3 linked regions of the Sus scrofa genome follow. The protein of the gene in region 1 binds, or shares a complex with, the protein of each later gene. Links are inferred from orthologs where the notes say so. Each region holds a gene or a part of one and is shown on either strand. Other genes may lie near its edges.

Evidence for each region.
Region 2: the proteins of HRAS (region 1) and MAPKAP1 are in contact, whole or in part, in a crystal structure (PDB 7VV8), measured with the Homo sapiens proteins. The link is inferred for Sus scrofa from reciprocal best matches to the Homo sapiens genes HRAS and MAPKAP1. Residues at the interface, in NP_001123914.1 of Homo sapiens: Gln25, Asp33, Ile36, Glu37, Asp38, Ser39, Tyr40, Arg41, Leu56, Glu63, Tyr64, Met67; in NP_001006618.1 of Homo sapiens: Glu277, Ser278, Phe280, Ala286, His287, Gly288, Phe289, Ser290, Leu291, Ile292, Gln293, Arg311, Arg312, Lys313.
Region 3: the proteins of HRAS (region 1) and PLCE1 are in contact, whole or in part, in a crystal structure (PDB 2C5L), measured with the Homo sapiens proteins. The link is inferred for Sus scrofa from reciprocal best matches to the Homo sapiens genes HRAS and PLCE1. Residues at the interface, in NP_001123914.1 of Homo sapiens: Ile24, Gln25, His27, Val29, Glu31, Asp33, Ile36, Glu37, Asp38, Ser39, Tyr40, Arg41, Glu63, Tyr64; in NP_057425.3 of Homo sapiens: Phe2138, Pro2146, Glu2147, Gln2148, Pro2149, Arg2150, Thr2151, Val2152, Ile2153, Lys2154, Lys2171, Tyr2174, Ser2175.

What each region holds. Positions count from the first base shown.
Region 1 is NC_010444.4:299,709-303,407, reverse strand, and holds the start of HRAS (GTPase HRas), read left to right. Parts: upstream 1-868; 5' UTR 869-1,024; intron 1,025-2,170; 5' UTR 2,171-2,197; coding exon 2,198-2,308; intron 2,309-2,479; coding exon 2,480-2,658; intron 2,659-2,736; coding exon 2,737-2,896; intron 2,897-2,982; coding exon of another isoform or gene 2,983-3,045; exon of another isoform or gene 3,046-3,064; intron 3,065-3,322; coding exon 3,323-3,442; 3' UTR 3,443-3,699. UniProt on the Homo sapiens protein: Involved in the activation of Ras protein signal transduction. Ras proteins bind GDP/GTP and possess intrinsic GTPase activity.
Region 2 is NC_010443.5:266,311,689-266,315,335, reverse strand, and holds part of MAPKAP1 (target of rapamycin complex 2 subunit MAPKAP1), read left to right. Parts: intron 1-2,631; 5' UTR 2,632-2,700; coding exon 2,701-2,959; intron 2,960-3,647. UniProt on the Homo sapiens protein: Component of the mechanistic target of rapamycin complex 2 (mTORC2), which transduces signals from growth factors to pathways involved in proliferation, cytoskeletal organization, lipogenesis and anabolic output.
Region 3 is NC_010456.5:105,698,569-105,702,215, forward strand, and holds part of PLCE1 (1-phosphatidylinositol 4,5-bisphosphate phosphodiesterase epsilon-1), read left to right. Parts: intron 1-104; coding exon 105-227; intron 228-313; coding exon 314-450; intron 451-3,362; coding exon 3,363-3,601; intron 3,602-3,647. UniProt on the Homo sapiens protein: The production of the second messenger molecules diacylglycerol (DAG) and inositol 1,4,5-trisphosphate (IP3) is mediated by activated phosphatidylinositol-specific phospholipase C enzymes.

The sequences.
Region 1 (3,699 bases):
GGGTTTGGGGGAAGCTGCTTGGACAGGGAGTCTGCAAGGTCTGCCCAAATTGGGGGAAGCTGGTGATGAGGGATGGGGAAGAGGGGCCCTTCTCCGAGCGCCAGTCGCTACGTGAGTAGCCCCCCCCAACCCCCGGTAAAAACACTTGGCCAGATTCAATGCTCCGTGGGCTCAGACGCCCCCGTCAGGCCCTAGACGTAAGATTTGAGCTGAGACCAACGACCCCGCCGAAGCTGCCAGGCGTCCCGGGAGCGGTAGGAGCGCCTCCAGGAGCCACCTGCCCCTGCCCCTCCTCCCCGCAGCCGCTCCGATTTTCTACGGCCCCGGCTCCCCGCGTGTCTTCGGTGCTGACCTCGCGGGCTCCATCTTCCCTGAGGCTCGGCCCCCGGGCTGTCCCCTCCGCTCCCCGACCCCCTGCGGTGGGCTGCGCAGCGCAGGGAGAGCCTGGGGCGCGTGGGCGCACCCGTGAGCAACTTCGAGGGCCGAGGGGCCCGGTGCGGGGCTCGAGTTGGGCCCTGAGGACCCTGCCCCAGTCCGCAACGGGCCTCGACCCGCTTCTCCGCGGGATCTCTGTCTCCCTGAGGGCCCTGCTTATTCCTGGGAGAGTCCAGGCCGTCCACGGAGCAGCTTCCTCCCCCGGACCCCACAGCCGGCCCACCAAGACCCACAGGCCGCGGCCCACGCGGGCCACCAGGGCCGACACCGCCCTCCGCGCCGCTCCCGGAAGCCCCGCCCGGCCCGAGGCATCTGACAGGCGGGCCTCCCGGCCAATCGGGGCGGGGCGAAGAGGCTCTAGGGCGGGGCCCGGCAGGCGCAGCCAATGGCGGGCCGCGCCTGGTTGACGGACGGGGGCGAGGCGGGGCGTGCGCGGGCCCGGTCGAGAGTCCGCAGCCAGCTGCCGGAGCCGCACCCGCCGCGGACGGAGCCCATGCACTGGGCGAGCCGCGCGCCCTGGCCCCGGCCCCCGCCGCCGCCCCCGCCCCGGCCCCGGCCCCGGCCCCGGGGGCAGTCGCGCCAGTGAGCGGTGAGTGCGGCGGGGACCACGGGGGGCGGCGGGGGCCGGGCCGGACGGGGGCCCGCGGTTCTCGCTGGGCGCGCGGGCGCGCGGGGGCGCAGGTGAGCCGCGGGCGGCGGCGGGCGGGGCGCTGCGGCTGGGGCTGCAGGCGGCGGCTGGTACGCCCTGCCTCGCCCAGGCCAGCCCCTCCGACTCCAGGTCCCGGGCCCTGTCTTCTGGGGCCCCGCAAGCGCTCTCAGTCTGTTCTCTGACTGCTCCCCGAGCCGAGGCCCGCCCATGACCATGGCCCTGGGCAAAGTCTCTCCCCCTGCAGCGTTCCAAGGATCCCTGCGAAGAACTCGGGCACCCGGCGGCCATCACACACACCAGGCAAACCTAGAGTTTAGGAAGTCACTGCCCTCTGTCCCCGCAGGGTACCTACCCTGTCTAAACATCTCCAGCTGGGGCTGGGGGGCCTTGGCCCCAGGCCCTTTTTTTCCCTTCTCGCTTGTTCCCTTGTGCCACACAAGGTCTTTTCCTGTTGATCAGCTCCTGCTTCCTGGAGCCCTGGCCCCTGCCGGCCTCTTCACCTGCCTTGGTTTATGTTCCCCAAAGTTCTTATGCCGAGAGGGCGCCGCAGGTTTCCCTTTATTTTCACTTATGTGAGTCTGGCTTGGAGCGTGGCCTGAGCTTGTCGGTAGGGGTTCCTCCCGACTGCCTGTCACCCTGTGCCTGGAACAGCACCTGGCATGCAGTAGGCACTCAGTGAATACTTGTCAAATGCACCAGCATGCCCGGAGGGGCCTGGAGCTGGTTGTTGGCTGCCACAGGCCTGTCTGGGCATGCTGCCTGGCCCGCCACTGTGGCAAGACCTGTTCTCATGGGGGGCGCTTGTAACCTCAGCCCGCGGTGCCTCCAGTTCAGGCTTTTTGCCTATCCAGCACCTTCTAATTCGGGTGCGTGCCTGGGAGATGCTCCCTCCTGTCAGCCCTGCCTCTGGGGCCGGCTCCCTGCTTCTCTCCCGCAGTCATTAAGTGCAGCTGGAGGTGCCACAGGTGCGCCGCGGGGCCGCGGTTGTGGCTGCGACCCCTGTTACCTGGATGTACGGGCCCTGGGAGCTCAGCGGGCCTGTCTTGCATGGTCTGGCCACGCTGAATGCTGCTTCCTCCACTGCAGTCCTGTGCTGTGGCCTCCTGAGGAGCGATGACGGAGTATAAGCTGGTGGTGGTGGGCGCTGGAGGTGTGGGGAAGAGTGCCCTGACCATCCAGCTTATCCAGAACCACTTTGTGGATGAGTACGACCCCACCATAGAGGTGAGCCTCCAGCCCGCATCCCGATGTGGGCTTGTCTTCTGCCCGCTCTGCAGGACGGGTTCCCCTCGTCACAGGTCCTGGGCGGGCACGAGAGGAGCGCGGGAGGGGCTGGTGGTGTGAACAGCCCATCCCGGGCGGGCCAGAGGTCCCTAAGTGGTGTCCCCCCCTCAGGACTCCTACCGGAAGCAAGTGGTCATTGACGGGGAGACGTGCCTGCTGGACATCCTGGACACCGCGGGCCAGGAGGAGTACAGTGCCATGCGGGACCAGTACATGCGCACCGGGGAGGGCTTCCTCTGCGTGTTCGCCATCAACAACACCAAATCTTTCGAGGATATCCACCAGTACAGGTGAGCTGCCCGCGGGCCTCGCTTGGGGGCCCAGAGCACGCCGGCACCCTGCCCGCTGGCTCACACCTCCCCTTGCAGGGAGCAGATCAAGCGGGTGAAGGACTCGGACGACGTGCCCATGGTGCTGGTGGGGAACAAGTGTGACCTGGCCGCGCGCACCGTGGAGTCTCGGCAGGCCCAGGACCTCGCTCGCAGCTATGGCATCCCTTACATCGAGACCTCAGCCAAGACCCGACAGGTGAGCCGGAGCCCCGCCCCCAGCCGGCCAGGGCCCCGCCCCGCCCCGCCCGCAGCAGCGCTCACCGCCCCTCTCCCTCGACACAGGGCAGCCGCTCTGGCTCTGGCTCCGGCTCCGGGACCCTCTGGGACCCTCCGGGACCCCCGTGACCCAGCAGCCCCTCCTGCTGTAAGTGTCCCCGGATGGAAGGGGGGAGGTGGAGGTCCCCGGAGAGAGCTGCCCTGAGCCAGGCCGGAGCGGTGACCCTGGGGGCCCCCCCCGGGGGGGGCAGTCCCCTGTCGGCCCTGACCCCTTCGTGGGCTGTGGGGGAGCTGCTGAGGAAGAGGCCTCCTGACCGGTGGCCCTGGGGCCCCTGCTCCCCGAGTGTGGGCCAGGGGCGGGGCGGCGCCGCGGCGGGGCGGCCCTGAGCCCGCGCTCTCGTCCCAGGGGGTGGAGGACGCCTTCTACACGCTGGTGCGCGAGATCCGGCAGCACAAGGTGCGCAAGCTGAGCCCGCCCGACGAGGGCGGCCCCGGCTGCCTGAGCTGCAAGTGCCTGCTCTCCTGACACCGCCGCTGCCCCGTCTGCGGACCTTCTGCGGGGCCTCCATGCAGCTGGGCGCTGGGGCGCAGAGGTGGCGGATGCGGGGAGGAGGCGCACGCGGAGGAAGGAGGAAGGAGGAAGGAAGGAAGTGCCGCCGGCGCCCGGCCAGCCCCGGTCGGCGGCCACAGTGGCCGCAGGCCTCCCAGGACGCTTTGCACGGACTGTCGTGGACTGACGCCACTGGCACCCCAGCTGTCACTCTCCTCCAGCCCCCTCCCCGG
Region 2 (3,647 bases), on another chromosome or scaffold:
GCCAGAAGGATAAGGTATTATGGTCCCTGTCCTCGTGTAGCTTACAGCCTAAATCCTTAAGTACATGTTGTAGGAGGTGGAAAGCATGTTTCCTGTGGCAGTCCCGTGGGAGTTCCCTGTCAGAACTGATACTGATGAAGGATTTGTTGAGTGATTCATACAGACTTCTCATTGTACGAGGTCATAGTGTACTAATAGAGAAGATAGCTGCACGTGGTGCGGTGTTTGGGGGCTTCCGTCATTCGTATATTTAGGGAATGGGTAAGTGCCTTCAAAAGTGTTTGCCCCCAACTCTTTTCTTCATAAGAGGTGATGGAGCAGGTCCATTTTCCCAAAAAAGATTCTGTGCAAGATACTCCAGTATACTTTTGCTGCTTTGCCCTTTGACTTTTTGGTGCCAGAGCATCCATTAAATGGGTGATTTCTCACCGAAGGCCTTGATTTTGCAAGGGTGAACTAATCAATATGAAGTTGAAAATACCTGCCCCTTTGCTGGTGACTAGTTGCCTTACTTGCATAAGAGATGTTTATAGTGATTGCTACCAGATGTTTGTAACTCTGTTGATCTGTGATTCTCTGGTTCTGTTAGAAAACACATACTGTCTATGGTTGTTTACATCTCTTTCTGCTTGTATAAGAAGTTCTGATTTTTACAAGTGAAACTTACATGCTCCCCTTTTTTTCTGTAGTTTTTTTTTCTGATTAAAACACTTAAAGTAGTGGGCTGACATTAATGTTTCTGAGACTAAGTGTCTCAGAACTTTGACACTTAGAATCTGATAATGTTAGGAGATATACTAGGTCTATATTAGGGTATAAACTTTTTGACTCAGGCATAACCTTATTCACTTTTGTATTTCCTATTAGCTTCAGTGTAAAATAAGCACTTAGTGAATATTTAAGGGAAAAAAGGTTAATATAATTCCCTTGATTAGAGATGCTTCTCAGTTAAATTTTTTTTTTTTTTTTTTTTTTTTGTCTTTTTAGGGCCACACCCACGGCATATGGAAGTTCCCAGGCTAGGGGTTAGAATCAGAGCTGCAGCTTCCAGCCTACACCACAGCCACAGCAATGCCAGATCCAAACCGCATCTGCGACCTACACTACAGCTCATGGCAATGCCGCATCCTTAACCCACTGAGCGAGCCCAGAGGTCGAACCTGTGTCCTCATGGATATTAGTCGGATTTGTTACCACTGAGCCACATCGGGAATTTCTAAACTTCCTCTTAATTGCAGTATCTTTAAGATCCCCCGAGTGATGTCAATACAGTGATATGTTGCCAGACAAATTTTTAAAACCTCAGTTAGTTATAATGGTTTTTTAGCTAGATTTCCCTCTATGTTCCATTTCTAGAAGAAACAAATAATAAGAAAACCTGGTGCTTTAGGTCTTCCTAAAAATGGCTGTCTTCTAGGACTGTTCCTAGGAATGTATTCAGTCCAGCTTTCCCACTCCTTGCACTTCCTAATGGTTTTAGAGGAAGAGGGAGGTGACCCAGATGACCTGCGGAGTCCTCTGTTACAGAGGAAGCACACACTTATTTTATTGCTCTGAACTTATGAGAGAAGGATAAATTGTTGATATATTTTAGGATTACTTTAAACAAGTATTGAAAACTGAAATTGGTAATGATGTTTTTACAATTATCATCATTATTAATAGCAGCTAATTTTAAATCAGGTACTCTTTTGAGCATTTTACCTGCATAATTTTATATATATCCTTTTATCCCTGCAACCCTCGTTTTATAAATGAAGAAAGAGAAAGAGGGTCAATGAGGTTAAGGTTATTTTGACCAAGATCGCATAGTTAGCAAGTGATAGGGCGAGGATTTGAACCTAGTTCTGCCTAAAAGGCCTTAGGTTCTTAACTACGCTTTTGGAATATTATCTTTGCTGAGTATTCCCATTTAACTGAGGAGGTACCATTTTGTTCCCAGAATAAACATCATTACAGTTTTAACAGGATTCAGGAAGCAGTTCTTATAATTAGATTTCTAAAATAAGAAATTAATCTAGTAGCAGACAAGTTTGATTAATAAGTTTGATTTTAAAAGCACAGTACTCTCTTAAACCAGAAGAAAGGAAAATATATTTATTGGACAAAATGACTTCGGTGGTACATTTTTGTAAAATTCCTGGTAATCCAGAAGGCATTGTCTGTGCCCTTTTAGACATTTCACAACCATGTGGCAGGAGGGGCAGATGTAAACTGAAGGCATACAGTTTTATGCTTTAACACGTCATCTGAGGAAAATACATCTTGTTCCCCTATGACCTTATAAAGTAATGAGTTTGCATGGGAATGAAGGGAGAAAGAAAGGAAATTTTATTGTTTTCACAGTAGTTATGTGCTGTGAGTGGCCTAAGGAGTTACTGCTATTTGTTTTGTAAAAGAGCAAGCCATCCTCTCTGATAACATACCTTGGAGATCTCATTGACTAGAGCAGTAGCCTCTAGTGCTTATAAGGATTTCCTTTCAGCTTAGACTTAATCCTTTTAAGCTCCTAGATACAGGGATAAATGTTGATTTTCAAAGTAGCATTTTACCACATTGAATTTGTTTGAAAAATGATTCAGTCCTTTTCTGCCTTATTCTTAAATGTTGCTGTGTGCATCATGTTTCTAGGTAGGTGAGCCTGTGAAACAATATGAAGAGGAGAAAATAGCCTTTTAAGAAAATTGGCCCACAAAAAGGATGGCCTTCTTGGACAATCCAACTATCATTCTAGCTCATATTCGACAGTCACATGTGACCAGTGATGACACAGGAATGTGTGAGATGGTTCTCATTGATCATGATGTTGACCTAGAGAAGATTCATCCTCCTTCAGTGCCTGGAGACAGTGGGTCAGAAATTCAGGGAAGCAATGGTGAGACTCAGGGCTATGTATATGCCCAGTCAGTCGATATTACCTCAAGTTGGGACTTTGGTATTAGAAGACGCTCAAATACAGGTAAACATTGCCTTTTAGTCGTGTTTTCTGACCTTTAAATCAGTAAACAATCTTACAGAATAATGTATAATATTGGAAGAAGTTTAATGGGGAACATACATGTATTGTGCTAACAGTAATTCTAAGCAATGTCTCCATCTCTGCCACTGTGAATGAAGAAAGCCTCTGGAATGATTTATTAGAAGGAAGTAGACAGCAGAGGAATTAGGAAGTAGATAGAGGAAGAATAGGTGGGAAAGTTGCATGTTGTGTTTCTGAGCAGTCACCATGTAGAGAGAAGTGGATCGTTTTGGGTTATCTTCACAGAGTGACAGACTACCTGGAGGCAGATTTCGGGCTGACATGATAAAGATCCCTTAGTAGACCAGCCAAAGAGTATCGCTGCCCAAGACTGTGTAAGTCGCTGGAGGAATTGTAGGGAGATGGGGAATTGGAGGGAGACAGCTGAATGTTTGTTAGGGCTGGTTTTAGTAGGAAGTCCCACCTTGGGTGTGAGATTAGAAAAGATACTTCTGCTTTTGATATAGTACTTTCTTTTCTTTTTTTCTTTCTTTCTTTCTTTTTTTTTTTTTTTTTTCTTTTTAGGGCCCCACCAGTGGCATTTGGAGGTTCCCAGGCTAGGGGTCAAATCGGAGCTACAGCTGCCGGCCTTTGCCACAGCCACAGCCACGCCAGATCCGAGCCACAT
Region 3 (3,647 bases), on another chromosome or scaffold:
ACAGTCCATGTTTTTGCCTCTGTTGCTGATTAGAGACCATCTCTTGGGGCAGAATGACATACCTGGCCCCAGTTCCACCCATTAAGGCCATGTCTTTGTTGCAGTGCCTGGAGCAGCAGCAGCTGGCATGGGCGGATCAAAGGAGGAATGAAGGGCTTTCAGAGCTTCATGGTTTCAGACAGCAACATGAGTTTTGTGGAATTTGTCGAGCTGTTCAAATCATTCAGGTATGGCTGGCTTTCTTCTTAGCTTTTCTCTTCCTACCCTCACCTTGTTATAACAATGCTAAAGATGTTTTCCATCCTGTGTCCAGTGTGAGGAGCCGCAAGGACCTGAAGGATCTCTTTGACATCTACGCCGTGCCCTGCGACCGAGCTGGCTCTGAGCCGGCCCCCCTCTACACCAACCTGACCATTGATGAAAACACCAGCGGTCTTCAGCCTGATCTAGGTTTGTGTGACAGTTTAATAATTCCTTTGGAGAACATTCTATCTAAAAATGAAGGTTAGAGACAGATTAAAGACAAATATCATATGATATCACTTATATGTGGAATCTAAAAAAAGTGATACAGGAGTTCCTTTGTGGTGCAGTGGGTTAAGGATCCAGCATTGTTACTGCAGTGGCTCAGGCCACTGCTGTGGCGTGGGTTCGATCCCTGACCCGGGAACTTCCACATGCTGCAGCCACAATTAATTAATTAATTATTAATTAAAATCTAAATAATACAAGGGAACCTATTTACAAAACCAAAACAGACTCACAGACCTAGAAAACAAACTTAGGGTTTCCAAAGGAGAAAAGGGGTAGGGGAGAGATAAATTAGGAGTTGGGGATTAGCATATACACACTACTATATATAAAATATAAAACCAACAGGGGCCTATTGTATAGCACTGGAAACCATATTCAATATCTTGTAATAACCTATAATGGAAAAGAATAGATATATGTATATAGCTGAATCACTTCGCTATACACGTGAAACTAACGCAACATTGTAAATCAACTACACTTTAATTACAAATTAAATAAAAGGGAAAAAGTGAAGGTTATTGATCCTATCACACAACTCCTTAGCCTCTCTCACATGGGATACTGCTGCCTGGAGCATGGTGAAATGCTTAGAGAATTATTTCTCTAACGGTGGTATTATGAAGATGAGTATGTACTATTAGCACTTTGGACAAGGAAATTCATCATTGTGTGAATCTGTCCATGGATTCCAGAATATTTAGCCAGTAGAGCCTTCCAGTTATTCTGACAGCTAAAAACCCTTTCCCACCCATTCCCAAATGTCCAGGAGGTGTGTGGGACATCCCAGTTGCAAACTACCTGTCTCTTCCCTGCCTCCAGGCAGCTGGGTGCTCAGCCCGTCCATCCTTTGCAGGAGAGTGTTTAGTGACCTCAGCAGAGCCCTACTGTCTGACCATCCAGGACATTTTTCCTAATATGTCAACCAGAATGTCTAATTCCTGTGTCCCACTCACACCACCACCATTACCATCACCACCCATGCATTTGAAGCCTATTATTTTTCTTCTGTTCTTGCTGGAAACTGTAAACAGTAGAAAAGAAAAAAGAAAAACTGCTCTCTTTCACACATCTGCTTTTTAACTATTTAAAAACATATTATCCATTAGCTAAGAATATTAACCTTTTTCAATTTTAGTCATAAATGTGTATAACTATGATTAGTCAAGTGGTTACACTCTTTGAAAAACAAATAGATTTTATTTTTTTAGGACAATTTCAGGTTTACTGAAAAATGAGCAGAGAGCTCCCATACACACTCTCTCCACACACATGTGGTTTCCTCTGTTTAGTAGTAGCTTGCATTAGTGTGGTGTATTTGTTACAGTTTAGCCAATAGTGATATATAAATTAACTGAAGCTGATAATTTATATTAGTGTTCACTGTTTGTGTTGTACATTCTATGGGTTTTGACAAAAGTATAATGACATATATCTACCATGGCAGTAGATACATACAGAATAGTTTCTGAAAAATCTTCTGTGTTTCATATGTTCATTGTGCCCACTCTCCTTCTGAATCCCTGGCCACCACTGATCTCTTTTCTGTCTCCATAGTTTTGCCTTTCCCAGAATGACAAATAGTTGGAATCATACAGTATGCAGCCTTTTCACACTTGCTCCTTTCATTTAACAATGTGGATTTAAGGTTCCTCAGTGTCTTCTCATGGCTTCACAGATCATATATTTTTATTGCCTAATAATATTTCATTACAATTTCATTGTATATTATCATAGTTTGTTTATCCATTCACCTACCGAAGGACACCTTGATTGCTTCCAGGTTTTAACAATTGTGAATAAAGCTGCTATAAATACTAGGAGTACAGTTTTTTTAGTGTGGACCTGTTTTCAGCTCTTTTGGATAAACACCTAGAAACATAATTGCCAGATCTTATGATAAGTCTATACTTAGTTCTGCAAGAAACTGACAGACTTTCCTCAGAGTGGCAAGAATTAGAATGGCCATGTGCTAAAGTGGGTGCAGATGTGGAGCGGCTGTGGCATTACTGGTGGGAATGTAAAAGGGTATCGCCACTTTGGAAGGAAATTTGTTAATTTCTTTCAAACTAAAAGCACTCTTACCACATGATCCTGCAGTGGTACTCCTTGGTATTTTCTCAAATGAGTTGAAAATTTATATTCCCACAGATACCTGCACACAAATGTTTACAGTTACGCTTTTAAATTAGAGAAAAACTGTAATCTTAAGGGTACGTCTTCCATCTCTGTAAACATAAAAATGTAGATGTAGTTATTCTCAAAAACCAAAGCCTGGGAGTTCTCATTGTGGCTCAATGGAAACAATCTGACTAGTATCCATGAGCGTGCAGGTTGGATCCCTGGCTTCTCTTAGTGGGTTGGGGATCCTGTGTTGCTGTGATCTGTGGTGTAGGTCGCAGATGCAGCTCAGGTCTGGCATTGCTGTATCTGTGGCATAGGCCAGCGGCTGTAGCTCCGATTTGACCCCTAGCCTGGGAACTTCCATATGCCGCAGGTGTGGCCCTAAAAAGAAGGAAAAAAAAAACCCAAAGCCTGAATTCAGCCTAAAGTCCCTAATTGAATTTACATTTAGTTTCTATCTAATGCCAAAGGTTATGGTCTTTCAAGATCATTCATCTAGCTCTTGTCTCTTTTTTTTCATTTATTCATTTTTTATTCTTTGACTCTGTGAAGACAGGAAGAAGCAATAAGCTTGATGGCTTGTTTAGACAGATTAGTGAAGGGTCTCTCCAGCTTAGTAATCCCATAGCAACATTATATCCAAAATGAACTTTATGAAAGATGCTAGCTAGTTTGTCCATGTTCTGTGGGTGGTTCTATTTCAGATTTGTTGACCAGAAATGTCTCGGATTTGGGATTATTCATTAAGAGTAAACAGCAGCTGTCTGACAACCAGAGGCAAATATCTGATGCCATTGCTGCTGCAAGTATCGTGACAAACGGCACTGGGGTGGAGAGCACATCCCTGGGCGTATTTGGGATTGGCATCCTCCAGCTCAATGACTTCCTAGTGAATTGCCAAGGAGAACACTGCACTTATGATGAAATTCTCAGCATCATCCAGGTTTGTACCTGTTTTACATGTACACAAATATGTAAACCTCTGACCA